Lepisosteus oculatus: one gene and its partner. The protein of the gene in region 1 purifies or fractionates together with the protein of each later gene. This does not show direct contact. Links are inferred from orthologs where the notes say so. Each region holds a gene or a part of one and is shown in the gene's direction. Other genes may lie near its edges.

The links. Proteins that work in one complex are often made in the same cells at the same time.
Region 2: the proteins of eno1a (region 1) and park7 fractionate together in Homo sapiens (co-fractionation; 3 studies listed by BioGRID). This does not show direct contact. The link is inferred for Lepisosteus oculatus from reciprocal best matches to the Homo sapiens genes ENO1 and PARK7.

What each region holds. Positions count from the first base shown.
Region 1 is NC_090720.1:1,526,428-1,536,708, reverse strand, and holds the start of eno1a (enolase 1a, (alpha)), read left to right. Parts: upstream 1-5,609; 5' UTR 5,610-5,720; intron 5,721-9,658; 5' UTR 9,659-9,668; coding exon 9,669-9,753; intron 9,754-10,281. UniProt on the Homo sapiens protein: Glycolytic enzyme the catalyzes the conversion of 2-phosphoglycerate to phosphoenolpyruvate. In addition to glycolysis, involved in various processes such as growth control, hypoxia tolerance and allergic responses.
Region 2 is NC_090720.1:6,608,731-6,619,099, forward strand, and holds the start of park7 (Parkinson disease protein 7 homolog), read left to right. Parts: upstream 1-6,250; 5' UTR 6,251-6,393; coding exon 6,394-6,483; intron 6,484-7,645; coding exon 7,646-7,747; intron 7,748-8,342; coding exon 8,343-8,402; intron 8,403-8,675; coding exon 8,676-8,745; intron 8,746-10,369. UniProt on the Homo sapiens protein: Multifunctional protein with controversial molecular function which plays an important role in cell protection against oxidative stress and cell death acting as oxidative stress sensor and redox-sensitive chaperone and protease.

The sequences.
Region 1 (10,281 bases):
TGAGTTTATGGAAAGTAAACAGGAACTGAGGGCAATAGCTGTTTGTCTATGCACATGTTGCAGAGATCCTGTAAGTCCATTTTACAAAACAACATACATTTTTCCATGTTTTTAGGTTTGCCACGTGACACAAGCCTCCCAGGGTACGAATAAGTACAAAATGAAGCTTTTTTATAGGCCGTGTTGGTCCAAAGGCATTTGACTTTACAGGCTTTTTTTTTAAATTGCTAGTGATCTGTGAGCCCCAACCATGACAGGGCCATTCTGTTTTCTCTAGGCGTCCTTAAACCCGGAATAATTCCAGCAAGAGACTATTCCTGCTGCTGTTGCAAAAGTTCATTTTAAATGATTTTAACTGTTTCTTTTTTTTAGACTGGTTGTTTAAAATTAAAGTGGTTTAATATGTGCATGAACCTATTTCTCTCTACATGAGTATATACTGAGAGACATTAAAAACACAAGAAAGGTCAGTGGCTTCGATGCGTGTGTGGTGTTTTTCATGTCCTTCAGTGTACGAATACTATACGCGGTGGAGTAGGATGAGCCTTTGTGTTCATCGTTAGGCAACACATGATGTTAATTTTTAATTGTTTATTTGCAGGAACTCGTGACCCGACATCTGTGACTTGAACCCGCCCCACCCCCAATCCACACAGCTGCATGAATGGGCATCGGCCAGGAGCCCCTGACCAGACTGGCATCTGGTCAGGAGCGGGGAGTCACATGCTCCCACACAGAGACAGAAAGGGAAAGTCCTGAAGAATGATTGAGAGAAAGGCATGCACGGACCCCAGACCTCCTGTCTCAATCCCTCCTCCCGCCCCAGGTATGAGAACTGTGCAGGCAGCAGGCAAGCGACTGATGGTTCTGAAACAGTTCCCACTGAAAGAATTACTGCAAGCGTTGGCACCACGGAGTGTAGTTTTTGCAGCTGGTGCGTTCTGGGTAAGAATGGAGAAATGAGTGCAGTACTGTATGTTGTCCTGGATCTTAGGCTCATGGCTGTCAGTTATTAAAGGCCTATAGGCTTAGATCACTGCGATGGATTGGTGTCCCGTCCAGGGTGTATCCTGCCCTGCGATGGACTGGCATCCCATCCAGGGTGTATCCAGCCTTGCACTCTGCCTGCTCCGCAACCCTATGGATGGAAGCGTAGATGTATCGCTGACGTTTTGTGCTTCTCGCCAGCAAACCAGCGCAGCTCGCCATTCTCTCCTCTTTGCCCCTAACTAGCTTAATTAGTTAATTGGCTGAGTTGGGACCCAGATCTTGAAAGCTCTCTCCGAGAGATGCCGCTGGGTTATACTGCTGCTGTAAGCTTTCTCAGTCGAGCTCTGGATGTGGCCTGTATGGGTTATAGGTAGTCTTGGCTTCCCCCTCGCAAATGAATACCATGAGGCTGAAATGGCCTGTGTGAGCAAATCAGGGTATCGGGGTTCCCTTCTGCTTCTAACCGCAGAGAGCCTTTTCGGATGCCTCCTAGCATCTAGATGCGGTACTGTCGCATGCACGACTGTTCACGGTCCCAGACACCCCGCGGCGGAGTGGTGGCTCTGTGGCTCAGGATCTGTGCCTGTGGCTGGAACGTTGCTGGTTCAAATCCCGCGGCCAGTAGAGGAGGGCCCCAGAGCAAGGCCCTTACCCCCAACTGCTCCAGGGGTGCTGTACAATGGCTGACCCTGTGCTCTGACCCCCAGCTTCTCTTCCCATCTGTGTGTCTCATGGAGAGCATGCTGGGGTCTGCGAAAAGACAAACTCCTATTGCAAGACATTGTATGTGGCCAATAGAGTGATCTTGTCATATCCACCCATGTTCAGCCTGCATCTGGTGACAAAGGTCACTGCTTTCATTTGGTCTAGAATGGAAATTGATTTGGGAAGGGGAGGGGGGTATTGATCGGTTGAAGGATCAACCTTTATGCAATGTGTGGGTTTTCCGGAGTCAATAAAATTAATTATTTACAAACTTGAGTCGGGCCGCAGGCATGGCTGGCTCGGGTATAGATTTATAGATCACCTCTCGCCGTGTATTTGTCTTCCAGCCCCACGCCTGAATTGAACATGACTATTTCTTTTTTCAAACGAGGTGGCAAATGTGAGAAACGCACCACTGAGGCATAACTTATTTGCAAATATTGCCTCGGGAACTAAATTAATGGAACACTCCATTCAAAAAAAAAAAAGAGCTTCCCCCTGACGTAGAAGTACACTGAAACTCCGGGCTGTGCGGTGTTGGCACTGGCAGAACAGTGAGACCCTGATGCTGCACTTCTTCGTCTGACCAGTAGGAGGCAGTGTAGACCCTCACTGAAACCTTTGAGAAAGAAATAGTGGGCTGGCCTGGTTGGAACTGGGTGAGAGGAAAAAACTAATATTTTGCTTCCAGCCTTGTAGAGAATAAATAAAAATGAATAGTAGCTTTACGACTGATTGCGCCTGGCAGCCCAAAGTGTTCTGCACCTGGGAGGAGACCCAGCTGGGTGACACACAGCAGCCGCTATCTACCAGCGGTCCCAGTACCCAGCAGAGCCTGGTCTGATTGGCCAGAGCCCAGACAGACTTCAGAGTTCAGGCACTGGGGTCAGCTCCCCTGCCCTCACAAGACAGCCATGGGCATCTTTCATTAAACTTCCAAGGCAAACAAAACTTCAAACTGTTTTTTTCTTTTTAACGGATTACAGAGTAGGCGTGCTGGAACAATGAAGCCATCACATGGCAGTGACTCAGAAAGCTTGTGTCAGTGCTGTGGTGGGGCTGATGCAGTCCAGGCTGACCAGACCAGGATGCTGGTACACTAATACAAACAGTGCCCCACTTCTCTGGAAGAGTCTTCTACAGCTGGCAAAGAGAGCAAAGATTGGGTGCCGCTGCAATTGTGTGTGTGCGTTTTTTTAATTGAGTGCATTAATATTAGAACACACGCTGGGAATGACTCCAGAGTAAACAAGGGCTCTTTTATTCAGGCAGTAGTTGTTCTTACTTCTGAAGCCTCAAAACGAGTTTCATTCAAAGTTAAGTTAGAATGAATGGAACAACTGTCTCAATAAAACACGACTGCTTCCTAATATCTCAGTGAATCATTTTCTGACTACTGTTCTACCCTCAGAAAGCCCTGGGACGTCATGATGTGGGTTCCTGCCTGGAAACGCATTTTCTTCCGCCTCTGTCCGTGACGTGGCGCAGGCGAACCACCAGGCGGCGCGCTCCCGCGTCCCGCCGTCCTCAAGGTCACCGCGCGCGTCCGCCATTGCTGATGCTCCGTTCTGCACTCCTCCGGCTGCCATGGTGACGGGGGACGGGCCCTCGCCATGGCAACAGGGCCTCGAGGGGGGGTGGGGGGGTGGATGACTGCCGCTGATCATTCAATGGCGGAAAAAAAGGACGTTTTGAGAATGAATCAGCCCCGTGTTCAGGAATGCTTGTGCACGGTTACAATTTCTGTTCAGATTTTGTGCGTTACAAATGTGTTTATATATGTCTACAGGTCGGTACCGAAAAGGGCAGCAGGGTGGTGCAGTTGTTAGATAGACAAGACTTTATTGATCCCGAAGGGACATTGAGGATAGCATTGCTGCCCCGCAGTGCTGGGCCCCAGGGTTGAATTCCAGCCCTGGGGTGCTGTCTGTGTGGAGTCTGCATGTTCTCCCCGGGTTCGTGTGGTTTTCCTGTAGGCGCTCCGGTTTCCTCCCACAGTCCGTCCAAAGACATGCTGGTAGCTTAATTGGCTTCTGGGAAGACTGGCCCTGGTGTGGGTCGGCCCGGTTAAGCCAGGGACCAGCCGGTTTAGCCGAGCTGGACCGAAACCCAGACACACGGGCCTGCCGGGATCAGGACCGGACACCCCTGTCCTCCATTCCGTGCTGCTGTTTGCGCAGATCTGCTCATCATCGCCTGCCTGCCGAGACGGAAAAAAAACCTAAAAAAAGTGACATTTTGTCTTCCAATCGCTCTGATGAAGGGCGCCTGTGAGCGAGACACGCCGCCGAGGCGAACACGGTTATAAATTATGCAAGCTGCAGGTATTGGGTAACAGGTCTCTCCGCCCGGAGCCGAGCTCGTTAGGAAAGACAAGGTTTGCGCGTTTTCTGATTCCAGTTCCCTGTTTGCAGAAGCGCCATCCCTCCGCATTGCTCGCTAGCACACCAGGCAGCCCCTCGGCGTCTCCACACACGGGGCCCGGGAGCTGTCTGTCCCTCAGTTCACGGCAGCGTGGGTTCACCCCGAAAGCGCTGAACCGGCGCCCACCCGCCACCAGAAAGCCGCAGACCCCCCGGGTGAGAGAGGTCGGGGCAGGGAGCTGCGTCAGGCTTGTTGGAGGGGACCAGGTGAGGGTTTATTACCGGCTGGGACAGGGAAAGGGAGGAGACGGCGCCTCGTTCGTGGCCGCCCGCCTCTCGCTGGAAACCCCACGTGAATGCCGGAGGACCACGCGGACTCCACGCAGAAGGAGCCCCGACCCCACAGTCGAGCCCAGACCGCAACAGCTCCAAGGCTGACACCCACGCCCCTAGACTTGGGACGTATTCATTTATTTTAAAAAAAAGGAACAAGAAGAATATTTCATCACTGACGTATCTCTTTATTATAGCATTAGTTTTACAGGGCTTGAGAATCTCCCCTCGCCTTCTTATTCTTGAACCGTTTTTCTAATGATCGTGACAGAGAAAATGCGCGAGTGATATGCATCATGGAACAGGTCATGGGTTTATTCCCTGCCGAAAGGAGAAGAAAGAAAACACAACGTTTCGGCTGTGGACCCTTCTTCGGGTGTAAGAATAATGGGGGCACTCAGCCTATCTCCCGTGTGTATTATAGCATGTGTATGTGCACCTATGTTATGTGTTCGGCTACGTAAAGAGAAAATAAAGATGAGGAAAATGTCAGCTCGCACTCGGGGCTGCGGCGGGTGTCTGGCGAAGGAGAATGACTGTTCTGTATCAATCTGCGGGTCACCCTGAGTGGTTTGGGGATGACTGAATCGTGAATCGGCCGTGGAAAGCCTGGCTCGGGCGGCGGTCTGCTCCCTGTGCAGTGACGCAGCGCCGTCGCGCGGAAAGCGTTGCTGATTCCCGGCACGTAGTCCTCACTGCGCCACCGCATCCCGAGCGGGGGGGGGGCTGGGTCGGGACTGTCCCTGGAGAAGCACCTTTCATCCTGGGATCTGGTTACATCCTTGAAACCCGTGCAGCACCCCGAAATAAAGGACCCATCCCCTACCCACGTGCGCAACAGGCGGTGAGCCCCGACAAAGCTCACGACGGCGGCCCCAGTTCGGCTCCAGGCGTTATCTGCGGTTTTTTTAATGTTACAAATACGTGCATTGCTTCCGATAACGGGTTTCACCTCGGCCTGTGGAGATGCTGCGAAACGAGGGGACGCTAAAGTGGGGGCTTCGTTCGTTTCGTTTGGAAAGAAAACGCGACTTTTTAAAAAGAAATCTGACGCAGACGGTAACAGTAACGTGTTCCGCATCCGCCCGGCGGGCGCCGCTGCGCTCGGTGGAAACTTCCAGCCTCGCGTGCACCGGCCTCCTCCTCCTCCTCCTCCTCCTCTCCCCCCCCCACCCCGAGTTGCGGGCGTGTCGCGTGAGCCCCGCAGGAGCCAATCAGGCGCGAGCCCTCTTCCTGATAGCGCTGCCCTGCGCGAGCCCTGCTTCTCTCCGTCTGCCAGCCAGCGCGAGCCCCTGTCCTTCTCCTTCTCCTTCACCGCCGCACAGTCAGGTAAGAGCGGCTCAGCACCACGTATAAAGCCTTTAGCCCAGTTTAATCATGAGCGGGCCCCGTTTTGTAAGCTCTGTTTTATTCGTTTCTGGGGTGTGTGTGTGTGTGGGGGGGGGGGTTCCCCATCTCGTGCGCTTTCTATGCACGCGTCGTCTTTAATATTTTTGATTTCCCGAAAGTTCCGAATTAATTCACATGCTGTGACCTGAATCAGTGTCTCTCTCTATACCCTGCTTTCCCCTGGAAAGCTCCGGGAGGTAAGCGGGTGTCGAGACGCTATGGGGCTGCAGCTAATTAATAGGGGGCCCGGCAGTACATTGTGTCAGAGAGGAAGTTTTGTCATTTTAGTTGGAAGGTTTTAATCGCCCATTTTAGGCGATTTCTCTTTAAACCTGTTAATTATCTTAAAGGTTTTGCCCGTCTGGGGGGCGGAGCGTGAAGGGTTCGCTCGGTGCACCGCCGGGGGTGTAATTCAATTAGGGGTATCGGGTTCAAGTTCAGCCCCAGCGGAGAGCGTCATATCGGGGCTGCCGGCGGTTTGAAACGGGTCTGTCGCTAAGCGGTCGCCGTTTCCTCTCTTGACAAAGCCGTATAGAAATGCTGAGATCATTCTGTTACAAGACCAACGTTTGATATCATTGTGCAATTTTCCTGTCGTTCTGAACTCTGCTCTGTAGCTCGTAGTTCCTGGTTAACTGTATCTCGGGAGTAAAACGCTTCTCAAGCGGGTCTTTAATCCCAGGGACATCCATGTTGTCCGTGTCGGAACTTTAAATAGACTGGCTTTTTTTCTGCTTCCTGGGAAACGCCAGTCTGTCTGTAGCGTTTTTTTTACGTGAGTTTTTTTAATGCGTTTAAAACGTAACTTTCATCTCCTCCTCCTGTTAATTTTTTTTAATTGTTGTTGGGGGTTTTTTTCCTAAAAAAAAGACCACTTCTGGAGGTGGGGAGGGAAAGAGACGAGATCCCGGTTTAGAGACGCAGAAACACTATAATTGGAGCGAATATAAGACTCGAGGCCTTCCGGGCTGCCTCGCTTAACACACCCGGCTGGAGGGGACGGGCGACGCTTTCTGATTTACTGAACAAGCCGAGTATTTCCAGCTCCCAGGACACGACCTTTGGAGGCAACGCCGCTTTCGGAGGTAGCGGTTCCAATGTCAATCGTGTTTTCGGGGTTTTGGGGTCACCCTCAACACCCACGTCCTCCCCGAGGCGCTGCGAGCGCCGCACCTGTGCGGAGTCCCCGGCACCACCCGGGAGGGTGGGGGTGGAAAAAACACGACATCGTGCGTGTCTGAGAGGAAAAAAAGGGGTGTCGAGTGGACTTTTCGGGGGTGACCCCGAAACCCAGATCGACATTGAAAACCACGTTGCCTCCAGAGGCAGTGTGCCAGGAACTGGAAATGCTCGGCGCGTTCAGTAAATGGGGACACGTCCCTCCCGCCCACTCAGGTCTCTAGCGGTCTGATTCCTCAATGTGAAGCAGAAACCACGTTTCTTGCGGTGAAAGGGCTGTCCTCTCAGCCACTCAGACTGCTTTCCACCAGCACCGTTTGGGAGACCCCAGTAGTTTTATTTTCATTAACATCACGGGACCCCAGTCTGTGTCCCTCAGTTCTTGCGACCCCCCGGTTGTTTGCGAATTGGGGTATGTGAAAAGACAGTGCAAGAAATGGGCTCATAAAGTGATCTTATCTTATCTATGAGCAGGACTGCTCACTACTGGAGAGCACTGGAATGGCTGCATATTGAGTAGGGGGGATCTCCCATCCTGGTCCAGGAAAGCTGTAGGACCTTCTGGTAATTGGCTAAGTTGAAGTGAAGCTAAGTGTTGATATAACAAGCTTCAACCCTAACCACTAGTTATAAATGCCTATAAAACCCAAAGGACAGAGGGTGCACCTGAAAATGTGCTTTGGGGGTTATGACTCTGTTAGTACTGGCCATGATTAATGCTCTTTCCTGTGAAATTGCAGATGTCTGATTCATGCAGCGCAATTGGCGTTTAAGGAAATAAGTCACTTGGTCCTGGAAATAAGTTTTTCGATAGCACGGGCGGCCTGTTGCCGAGGCTGCGAGTCGTTATATACAGGCCTCTCAGGCTGTCCGCGTTGGTGAGGAATATTGAAGTCTTGGCTGTGAAGGAAAGCCCATTGCAGACACCGTAATGTTGACACGGAGACCTGCACTGGCCGTGGGTACAGATCAGGGTACAAAAGATAAGCTTCTTGTAGGCTTCTAACTCAAAAACTAGATTTACTATGCAACAGCTTATTTTTTTGTTCTTTACTCGGAAGTGCATTTCTTAGCCATCCTGATGCAGTTTGATCAGTTTAACAGTCTCTCTTCCTGGCTGTTTCCTCCGAGAGCAGAGACCCCTGTCCTACAGCTTTGTAACCAAGAGCACCTTGGCTAGAATAGACTCGCTGTGAATAGCAAGTTTGTTTGTTTTTAACCCCGGCTGGCCAAAAGCTGAACTCGACTAAAAGCCTGTGGCTCCATTCAAACAGCCGTCCCACTCGATCGTGTGGACGAGGGAAGGACAGCACGGGTCTGCTAGCTCCTAGGGACAGCCGGGGGCAGTTTTCCAGTGGTCCATCTCCATCGCGCAGACATTAATGGATCGAGAGGGAGTGCTGCGCAGGGCATCTCGCTAAAAGTCTAAATAGGCTTTTATTGGTTGGGTGCGCCTCACTTGACATCTGAGCACTGACTCATTTTGTGAGCTTGAAAGGTATTAGCCCACGAAGCCTAAACTAAATCGGTATCCTTACCAATAAGCACTTTAGTCTCCCTGGCCCCTAGTGCCTTAAGGTTAAAGGGCCCCAGTTTTGATGCCTGATGTGTTGCTGTAGGGACTAAGCTGAGGTGTCTCATTTGGCAAAGTTAGACTCATTTTCAGATGCAGTGTTGAGGGTGTCCTGTTGCCCTTGGATCAGGACAGTTTAGTTTTAAACAACAATAGAAGCATGTCAGAATGAAAAGGATGATTGATTAGTGCATCGATAAGATGATTTATAGCACATTGGCGATCTGATCTAGGCTTTACCGCTGTTCTGGAAATAGGCTGCTGGCCACCTGTTACCAGGTTGTACACTGACAGACGGCTGACGTGGAGAAGGTCCGTCTGAAGACATCTAAAACTGGACGCTGAACCCAGTTCTTGAAAAACGCAAATCGGGATCAATTGTTGAGCTGAGGCTGTGTCTTTGAGGCTCTCTATAGACGATAATCCTTGAAAGTTGGGATGTAGCAGTGTAGTTTTTGATTGTAAACGAATTGCAACAGTTTTTGTTTTATTCACAATGAGTTTGCATGAGCGCTTAAGAGCGTCGTCTCCACCGCGTTCCACCGCTCGGCCCGTTGGGGCAGAAGAGACGTCTGTCCGGGTGCTGGTGCTGGTCGGGTCGTGCCGTGGAGCGCTGGGAGGGAACGCGCTGGTGTGCTGGGGGAGGGGGTGTCTCTGCGGTCTCCCCAGCGCGGACTGGGGAGAACCTGCTGAGCGAGGGCCCAAGGCAGGGCTGCTCTTTCCAGAGCAAGGCTGCTGCCAGAGCTTCTGTAGGAATACAGGACCGGTGGAGACCCAGCTGCCCGCCGAGGAGAGGAAGACCTGCACAGCCATGGGGAGAACTGGGGGCAGACCCCCCCTCTGGCTCCAGGTGGATCTGTGCTCCTTCTCGGAGCACAAAGGTTTTTTTTTTAAGTTGTCTCGTGGCTCGTTCGGTTGTTCTTCCGAAGGCAGGTAGCCCTTATGCGATGCCCCTTTCCCCCAGGAGGGGGCCGTGGGGAAACTCGCTCGGAGGTTTCGCTGCCCCCTGGTCTTGTTGCATGAGCTTGTTTTAAACCGGGGGCAGCAGCGTGGTCAGGGGGCGCCCCACCAGGCAGATCGGTTTGGTCACCGGCGTTTGTCCCCCCCCCCCCCCCTTTCGTTCCAGAGCCGCCATCATGTCCATCCTGAAGATCCACGCCCGTGAGATTTTTGACTCCCGTGGAAACCCCACTGTGGAAGTGGACCTCTACACTAAGAAAGGTAAAATGAGTGGGGAGGGGGCAGGAGTTGACATAATTATCATGAGAGAGAGAGATAAGGAGGCATGTTTCGTGAGTTTGTGTGGAAGAGCCGCAGGTCAGGTCCTGCTTGGCTTAACCCTGAGCCCTTATCAGCGTCATGAGGGATCGGTTCCACGTGCCGTGTCAGGTCCACTGGTAGGAAGTGAAGAATCCTCTTCGCAGTAATGGACTCAAGTTTGTAAATAATCACAGGTTCTAGATTCTGGTATGGGAGACGAATTAAGCAGATTCATGCAGAACCCCATCTCCTTATGCCTTTAGTGTCATTTTCCTGAAATATTCTGCTGAGGCACAGGTATGAGCTTTAGCAGGGGAAGAAAATACAGGGTTCAAGCCTTCGGTCATGCCTGGGAGTTTCGTGAATCAAGGATTGACGATGCTGTTAGTCTGCCGTTCGAAGGGATGGTATTTCTTCCATTTGAGAGCCAAAGAGCTGGTCTGTTGAAACTCTCCTTTCAGGCCTCTCGTATAAAGTACAGTACAGTAG
Region 2 (10,369 bases), about 5.1 Mb from region 1:
GCAGTCAGCAGTCATATAGTCCAATGGCAGCACGTCATGACATTACCACTTTAGGGCTCATGAATGCAATGAGGTTTATGGGTCTTCTGTGATGCTTAGTTATGTTCACAACCATATTATCAGCCGTGTGAAAGTCATCTCTTTAGGTGACGATATGTGTTACACAGAGTATCCTGGCTTCATTGCAGGTGCATCTGTTAATGGGAGATGGACCCTGAACACTTCTGTTTCATGTTGCAAAGTTCCTGGCACCCAAGCAATGACATCTTGGTGAGCCCTCATGCCTTTTACATGTGTACAAATCCCCTTTGCCCTCCTAATTCCATAAGCACAGATTTTGCATGATGCTTGTTGTCACATTTCTTATTTTTAGACTTACGAGCTAATGAGGAGCTAATGTGAACGTTTTTTACAGGCATATCAAAACCTTTCATGCACAGACAAGACATACCAAGATAGTTGAGTTGAGTTTCTTAAGTGCGTTGGTTTGTAGGACTCTCCTTTTCTAAAAAAGGTAATAAAACTACAATTCAAAAATGAACTAAAATAAACAGCACCATCTTGTGGTCTCTTAAAACTTAACAAAACACCTCTAAGTTCTCAAAGATCATGTTGACACCCAGACTTGACAGTCACATTTGAGAGTCATTTCTAATATACTCACCAGCCCTCAGACCGTTCAAATGAAGACAGCAATACGAAGATGTCTGCTTAGGCTGATCACAAATATGTCCAGTCTGAGATGCCCTGTGTCCATCAACCCCTGCAAAAGGTGTCTTTTGTTACTGTCACACACTGATTCTGACTGTACTGTAGCTGACTGCGCTTGCAATTCTGTGTTCAAAAACACCAGGGGTAGATGAGGGAGGTGGGGCTGTAGTGGTCAACAGAGACCAGAAAGGTGTTTGTAAAAAATGTAGACTCTAGTTTAGGGGAGTGTTTGGGGACTGCAATATTTTAAAAGGATATAATGAAGGGAATATGAAGTCCTTGGCCACTATTTGAAGAGTTTAATGGATTGTTGTTGTTGGAAACCTTTCTCCAACTAAACTCGTACTCTTAACTGTCACCAGGCAGTATGACAGAGCTCACAACCTCAGGGAACAGGAGAAACCCTTTCAACTGAGAAAATAAACATCCCAATCCCCTCCTGACCTTATTATGAACCAACAAGGTGAATCCAAGAACTCATTTTGTGGTTCAAAAATCACCCATACTGGGGAGCTTCTCAGCAGCTCCATCAGAAAAGTTGTTCTCTCAGAGTGCAGGTTGATCTTGGTGACTCAGGAGTCACTGGTTCGAGCAGTGGCAGACAGTGACTGTCCCAAGAGCAGGACACAACTGTCTGTATGCCACCAGAACGGGATGAGCAGTAGCAGGCCAGTCGTCTCTCAGCTCCTGGTGCAGCAGGGACTCCTTATTACTTCCTGGGTGCTTGCAGGCTTGCAGTGCTGTCACGGAGAACCTCTGCTCTGATTGCTGTTGAGTCTCTGATTAGGCCTTGTGGAACTTTAAGTGCCAAAAGAGTGAATGAGTCTAGCATGGGTCCTCTTTCTCCCCGTGTGGGTACAGAACATGTAGCCTGGTAGGACTACCCCAAACCAACTGCTGGTTCCAAACTGGTTGAAATAATAAAACAAGAATGATGTCAAAGTCTAGATATATAAAAAGAAATCTCGGTTTTGAATTTTGTTTGGCGATAACTTTTTCGGAGACTATGATATCTGCCCTACACTGCTATGCTTTCTTCCTTTCTGATGGTTGTTGATTTAGCAGACAGCGGTTTCTGGAATTCTTTGCTTTCATTTAAAGCATTGCATTATGGAACACCCAGTGGATGCATTTTACAACCCCTTCAGCCTTCTCAAGAAACCTCTGTTGCTCGCTAGATAAAACTGTGTCAAAACAGAACCTAAAGTCTGGAGGGGTGTGAGAGAAAGCGCTAATGAGCCATGTAGCAGTGTAGAGATCGCCCAGGGTCTTTCTCTTCTTAAATGAAAGAAGATCCCATCTGCGGGGAAGTACCCATTGCAAATCCAGGGAACAAGACACCCGATACCATAGTGAACACACACGCTCTCGCACAAATACATACCCACACTGAAAAAAATTAAATCAGAAAACATGTTTTGTAGTTCTGCCAGCAGTAGATCAAAGAGGCTGACACTTGTTAATATCCGTTTGTTTTTTTTTTACTTGTAAGCGTTAAATCTGGTTTAAATTAGCACCCTTAAGCACTGTGGTTGGTGGGACATGAATTTGGGAAGGATCCAAGAGTGTCAGTGGCGATTTGCGCTCACATTTTAAACAGCCAGTGTGGCACGTAAAAACAGCTCTCCCAGTCTGCTGTCACTTGTGGAGGTGAGTGAGCCAGCCGAAAGCAGACAGCCAGTATTAATGGCTATTTAATGAATCGGTGCTCTGTTGGTACGGACACATAGTGGCTCTCCTGTTCAGTCTAATAATCATTTTCCTCATCTGCATTCAATTATAATCTCACCTGTTCATTCGAATATCATTTTCCTTTTCCCGGAATTTAGCAATTCCTAGCCATATTTCATTCTGTAATGTAATAATGTTAATACCCAATTAAATTCAATTCTAATGCGCTCGTGAATGAATATTCGGAGCTGTTTAAGCTGTTGAAGCAGCGGTATCCACCTGTCAGCCTCCCCTCTGTGAGCTTCCACAGGTGTGATCCCTGCCAGCCGGCCTCGCCTGTCCCTGCGGTGTGCCGACTGACGATCGGCCTGACCTGATGGCCGCTGCGATGCGTTTACTCCAGGTCTCCCCAGCAGACAGACGGAGCACGCCTGCCCCATTCCCTCTCCTCCGTCCCCATCGCCTGTGTTTGAGACTCTGAGGCAGGGTGGGCTGGCCAGACTGTGTGACATGCTCTGAGGGGGTTGCACCTGGCCGCAGAAGCATGTTGTGTGAACCAGCCCTGCCCGGCTGTTTGACCCCTGGCTGCTGGCTCTTAAAGCACCTGGAAGACCTCATCGCCAACTGCCAACAAGGAAGTACTCCCTTTACCATGTGCCACTTCAGGAGGCGTGCCCATTAGAGTACGCTAGCTTAGTGACCGAGAGGAAGGCATTTAACCCCTACTTCTCTCTTAGTGGACTGTAGCATACTGGGCCATGGATCTCTTCTTGATAGCCTTGATATCCAACATTCCAGATTTGAATGGTAAAGTCATAACTTCAGCACGCGCTGATCTGAGACAGCCGAATCGGAGAGGGGAGGGAATTTATCTCTGACCCTGTTTGGGGCTTTAAATTTCAATCTGGGAACTGTAAAGAAACGCACACATCCGGGATCTGAGTATATGGGGTTATGGGGAGGTGTACATGCAAGGAAGCATGGTGTTTATGTCCAGGGTGGCTGGGATGGCCACCTCTCCTCCACCGCTACGCCCCTGACGTGATCTACAGGGAGGGGTCGAGGTAGCCTCCTCTGTCTCCTCAGGGAGGTTGAGGGAGGAAGGAAAAAATGGCAGCCTTGTGGTTAAAAATAGGACGTGGAGGATATTTTCTTTTGGGTCTTAGCAGTAGCTACAGGCTGTAAAATTAAATTAAATTATACTGTGGCTATGTTTGTTTGCACACTACAGGTGCCCTTAGCTAAAGGCCTTCTACCTAGTCAGCAGAGCAGATTAGCTGTAACCAGTATTGGTACAATAAGTCGGTGAGCTGCTTTGTTGAAACAGCAACATTAATCGTGAAAACGGTACAGGGCTAAGAAGAAGAAAAGCCTTTTGAAAGCAATTACTCTTTAAGAGGTCTTTGTTTATTCTCCGCCTGCCTTTGGAAGAGGTTTTCCTGCATGACAACAACAAAGAGCGTCGGGGAAGAAAGTTGGATATTTAGGAAGAAGCGCCCGCTACGCCTCATTTAAGTTTGCAGAATCGCACAGATGGCTCAGCGGGCAAATTTGCATCGTCAGTGTTTCAGACTTTAATCCCTATTCTTACGAGGTTACCTGGTTTACAAGCGAGTTTAATAAGCATTCCCTCAGTATGATCATATGCTCACTATAAGCTTCTTATGTAAAGAATAAAAAATAAATAAATGCCTGTTTAGGGAAAATAGCTAGTGTACGACTGCGGCAGGCTCAGTGATCCCGGTTACATATTTTGGTAATCGTTACTGCCTTCTGGATTTGCAAACAGGCACGTAGAAAATAGGCCGGCTACAGCACCCCAAATCTTTATTTAATCCGTTGTTTCATTGGGCTCTTTTAAGTTGCACAAATATGAAAATGCAACTGCAGAATGCACACTGGTGCATTAAATTGGGACAAGTGCCTGCATATTAAATCTCCAAACCATTCACGTTCTGATTTACATGAAAATATAATTCCCTGGTGTCCGTTTATGACTCGCTTATGCAGCTGAGCTATTTGCACGGCGTAGCTTGTAAGGAAGCAGACTTCCTGGGCCCAGTCGGTGCACTTACCCCAATAATTCAGACAGGGATTCAAATTCCCACCAGTATATTGTAATTGACTCATTGAATTGTGAGTATAAAAAATATTGTCTGCGACATACAGGGTTCGCGTAAAGTTTTCGGTCCTATTGGAACAACCATATTGTCAGAACAAGTGTCGGGATCACAGCTGTACAAGGCTTCACATCTTCTCTTCTCAGCATGGAATAAATCTATTTTCTTGTTCCTTTGCCGACTCCGCATGCTGACGCAGCTATCCACCTGAACTGTGGTCAGAACAGATTACTACAGAGCATTGAAATCTAGCACTTACACAAATAGGATCTATCCTGACCCTTACGAGACGTTCTGAACGTGGACGTGATCAATGGACAAGAATCCACGGAGAACAATTTCCTATTGAAAATCACGGTGCACACTGAGAGTGCGGTTACCTATCTACAGGGATCCACATTGTGCACTATGCGCCCCCCTGTGGACACTGGTGATGTTAGCGCTTTTTGGTGCGTTCATTTGTTGTTCATGGGTTGTGCCATCTGAAAGTTATTGAGAGCGCGTTCACATCGCTCACATCTTGAAGAATAAAAAAACAGTGCATTTCAAAATATATTTTGAATAATATTAATATATTTCAAATATTGACAAACTAAGACCAATGGAAGTACTAAATCAATTGGACTTAAATCAAGTAAAAGATTCTGAGGGTACTTTATTTTAAGTATAGTACTTCAATTATATTTTGAACTTGAACATGAACTTTATTGCCATATGTAACCGGTACTGGTACAATGGAATTCTTACTAACAGAAAGTCTCTCGATCATAAAACAAGTGTAAAAAAACAAAACAAAGTGCAAACAGTTTAATGCACTCTATAGGGACTTTTAATATATTTGCTGGAAATATCCTAAGAAAATATCTATGCTTGTAGGTCTACTGTAATTTAACATTAAATACACACCAATACAGCTGCCACCACGTCTACTACTAACCTAGGAATGGTAAATAATGACAAAATATCCCAAATCTTCTTTTTAAGTATAAAGTACAGCACAAGGAACGTGGAGAAAACGTAATCTATAACTAAACTAATTACAGTTTAAGCAACCTGTATTTGAATATAGTTGACTACATTGAACATTTCTGACAAGGTGCTGATCGCAACATTTTAAAAGGCGCAAAAGTGATAATAAGTGTGACACACCCCACACAAAACTGAACTTTTTGCGGGCTCTCACAAAGGCGCCCGTGCAGAAGCGTCTTTTACACAAGAGGCTGGAGATGTCTGAGGGAAAACGGTACAGCGCAGTACTGGGTGAATCTGTATAGGCACAGACGTCCTGCACTTTTAGCTTTTTTGGAATATGTCACATCCTTCAGAGATTCTACATCAGCATTTAGAAAAAGTGTTCACATCGCAGAATTTAATGGATATATATTGTTTCTGGTATTAAACCATGTGGACATGTGCCCTTAACACCTCTGAAGAAGAATAGCAAATATCTATATTTAGCATCTATATACAGTACATATAAAGAAAATGTGTTAATGTCATGGACCACATAGGATGCTTCTTCATCACTAAGGTGACACCGCCCTCTAGTGGCTGAAGAAGTGTCACACCTGCCAACAGCAGCTCATACTGAGAAGCTTCCCATTTCTTCATTTCGTTATGCAAGTGTTGTTTTCATTTATAGTTAAGTATGGACACGAAATAATGATGGTAATAAAGCTTTAAGTACACGCCTTGTGGATTAGGATCAAGAACGCGCCTCATAAAATTGAGCCCCCGTGGCATTTCGGTCGCGCTGTTTGTCCCCGAGCCTTTGCCGTAGCTAGGGAAGTGTGTGTGTGTGGACACTGTTGAGTTTCAGGTCGTCTGCAAGTGCCTTTTGTTCACAACCTCAATCTAAGAAGTTTGCTTTGGCTCTTCAGAGTTCACACAAATGGCAGCCAAGCGGGCTCTGGTTATCCTGTCGAAGGGTGCTGAGGAGATGGAGACGGTTATCCCGGTGGACATCATGCGCAGAGCCGGGGTCTGTACTGTATGCGGCAGTTTGACACGCTTAAACTTTACCTCAGCATAGGTGGTGCATGAAAACAACGTGCTATCCTCAGGCCTAATGATGCGCATTCCTTCTGTTCTGCAGAATAAGAGAACTATTTTTTAGTTATTGCTTGTATATGATATATTCTTGCTTCCACAAAAGACATAACTGTGTTTGTACTGAAAGAAATTACGAAATAAACCGCCAGCGTTGCAGCAGATGTTTGAGTATGAATCGGTGCCTTGAAACGGTCATCCACGGTAATAACGACGAATAATCGGCGTTACGCTATCTACAAGGCTGCGATGCATTTTTGTCTGCTGCTATGAAGTCTTCATTTTTAACAAGTGATTGGAATTATTAATACGTTTAATACTACAAAGCACTCAAAAACAAGGACACCGAGTTAATAGTAAAGGCCGTAGTCTTAGGACGATTAGATTTTGAAAGATGAATATGTATGCGAGAGCTCGGCATTTGCACATTGCAGTTGACTACAGTACAATGGTACTGTAATTTTCATTTACTTGTCAGTGACTTGAATATCACTGTGCATCTTCATGGGATAGTTCTGGAAAGAGCAATGTCTCTTAACCAGTCTGCAGGCACGGTGCAAAAGTGGCGTGAAAGTGATCCAATAAACTGAAGAGAGGCGGGGTCAGTGACGCGGAATGTGATAAAGATAGATCTGGGGTCTACTGTAAATGTCAGTTAGCTGCAGGGATGTTCTTGGGTAGTTCATTTCTAATTAAAATGACTTCTGTAATATTGCGAAGGCTGCCTGATTGAGGCAGAACTGTAATGTTAGGCGAAACAAGCCCCGTCCATCACTGGGATGCGTTCTCTAAGGCTCAGAGACCTTAAGGAGCTCCTGAGTCCAGGCTCAGTGATCAGAATGGGACGCCGTCCCACAAGGCCTCATCTGCAAGCGTGTGTAAAGCTGGCCTCATGCCCAACAGTGTTTGAAAGCATTGCTAGCCTCTGACTTTACCTTTGCACGTAATTTTATGTGTTTGTTAGTGATGCCATTCTTTTGATCACCGGCATATGCATACAAAGAGGGTTGAAATGAATCAGGCCAGTAAAGGATTTCTGGGCACCGTGTGAGGCCAGAAACCCATCGACCTGACGGAGGGCGCTTGTTCCGCAGGTGAGCGTGACGCTGGCCGGCCTGTCGGGGAAGGAGCCCGTGCAGTGCAGCCGAGACGTGCTCATCTGCCCTGATGCCAGCCTGGAGGAAGCCCGCGCGCAGGTCCGAGCAGCAGTGTCCCATACGCGTGCGCGCCATGTGTTGAAAGGAGTTTGTGTTTAAATGCCGTCAAATTCAAGTTTGTAGTTCTGAACCCAGGCTAAACTCTGCATTTGACCACCAGTTTACCCACAGTAAAACACTGCGTGTTCCTTTCTGGCAAACGGTTAAAAGAAACAACACTGGTGGGCCACAATCATCAATATTATTGCAGACTTGAGGAATACAAGGGCTGGGCTTTATTAGGATTTATTGATGGATTCGGCAAGGATTAATTTAAGATTTATGTGGTACCATTTTTTTTTCTTTAAGTGGTGCTTTTGTAGGTTACTTTGCACTTTTTGTAGGTTAACTTGCGCACTTGTTGACAATGGCACCTGTGTCAGCCTAGCGGAAGATTCAGGAGTAAAGGCTGAAGTATTAACTCTGCTCTCCTCACACGGTGGGTCACATTGGGCATTTTGTGCTTCAAATTATTTTGCATACAGCAGATGGATTAACGAAGGCTGCCCGTCCGTTTGTAGAGAGGTGTTCTGTGGCGATGTGTGAAAAAGCAGGGCTGTATCGGCAGTGATGTGGCCTGCCCTTTTCTCCCCAGGGCCCGTACGATGTGGTGGTTTTACCCGGAGGAAACCTGGGGGCGCAGAATCTGTCTGAGGTAAGAGCAGGACCGCAGCACAGGGCCCTAGTTTCCACTAAAACTGTGGGGGAGTGGGACAGGTGAATAGGAACGGAAAAGAGTTACTTAATAGAAACAAAAACCTAATTCTGTCACATAGTGTGGAGTTAAACAGCTGCCCCTAATGGCATCAAGGTGTAATTGTATTTATGTAACATGGGAATCCTATGAGAGGCGCAGAACTCTACTTTTCATTACTGCGCATACGAGTGTTGAATTGTGTGGCCAGACTCCTTGTGTTTTTTCTTCCAGTCTCCAGTGGTGAAAGACGTGCTGAAGGACCAGGAAGGCAGGAAGGGGCTGATTGCTGCCATCTGTGCAGGTATCCCCAGATATCGCGGCTCATTCAGGGCACGCAGAGGTGTGAGCGGGGGCTCATTCAGGGCACGCAGAGGTGTGAGCGGGGGCTCATTCAGGGCACGCAGAGGTGTGAGCGGGGGCTCATTCAGAAAGCACAGAGGGCTACACAATCTTGTCCTGTTAACAGATGCATGTGCCAGTCCATTCACTGGCTCTTTCTGGAGAGAGCTGTATGTCAAAGAATTTAAAAATCCTAGACAAATAGGAAGACTTAAGAAAAACGCACAAAGAGGTCATTTAGACCACTTTTGCACGATGCTGTAAAATTTCAAACTATGTATTTGAAATAGAGTAATAAGTTTGAAAAAAGAAGGGCATCTTAAACGTGATCAGTTTTTAAAAGTTTTTTAAATTTGCTGACAGATTTTGGAAATCCCAAACGTGCGCATCACCAAATATTCCCTGCTGGCAGCCTAACAATGCATCGATACAGAGGTGTTTCTATTCCATCTGCCCCACTTTCACTGGCAGTTATCAGCTGTAGATGAGTGGGCTGGTTTGACTGAGCTGCAGCTGGAAGGCGTTTCCACTGCTGCTGCTCGGATCCGACCCGGACAGCACGGTTCTGTATCTCGTACTGATGTGGACCCAGCAGATCTAGCAGGAGCTGTGGTACTTAACAGTGAAGATTTGGAGTCGTTGTTTTATGATTTTAATTAAAGAATTTAAGAAAATAAGACCAAATGAGCCTTGCAACTTTCAACGTATTGGATGCTGGATGATGCAATGAAGTTGTCCTGACCCTTCTGTCTTACAGAACGAAAAGTCATTGATAAGACTGCTGACAAACGCTTATGCAACAAAAATAAAAATAGCAACAAAACTTTGATCCTCTTCATCCTTCTTGTATTTCTTTAATTGCTTGACCTTTAACTGACACTTCCTACATCGGCTGTGTCTACTGGAATTAGAACTTGGAACGCAAGCAGACGCATCGAGCTGAAGCAGTGCTGCAGCTGATAACGGCCAGCACAAAGATCACTTTATTGGCCATATACAATTTCTTGCATTAGGAATTTGTCTTTTCACATACGCCAGCTTGCTCTCATGAGACACACAGACAGGGAGAGAGAAGCCTGGGGTCAGAGCGCAGGGTCAGCCATTTATACGGTGCCCCTGGAGCAGCTGGGGTTAAGGGCCTTGCTCAGGGGCCCAACGAAGTAGGATTCCTCTGCTGGACGCAGGATTTGAACCAGCAACCCTCCAGCCACAGGCGCAGATCCTTAGCCACAGTGCCACCACTCCTTGCTTAGGAAGAGGGATGTAGTGTTGTTTTTACATCACCTTATGACAAGGCAGCATAGAGATCTACAGCCACAAGAAAGTATAAATAAAAGGTTTGTGTTCACGACCAAAAAGAGGTGAAGAATGTCGCACCTTGATGAATCTCCCTGCGGATGTTTTCCATGAGGCGCAGCGGAGGAGATTGAAGTGTATTCCTGACTGAGCAAGGGTACTGGAAGGCCACTGCAGATGGCACAGAACAAAGACGGCCAGCCTGTGCAGCAGTGCAAACCACAGTGAAGGGTGTCCTGGGAACAGCCTGACATCCCCACAGGAATCTTTAATGAGGACAAGGTTTCCGA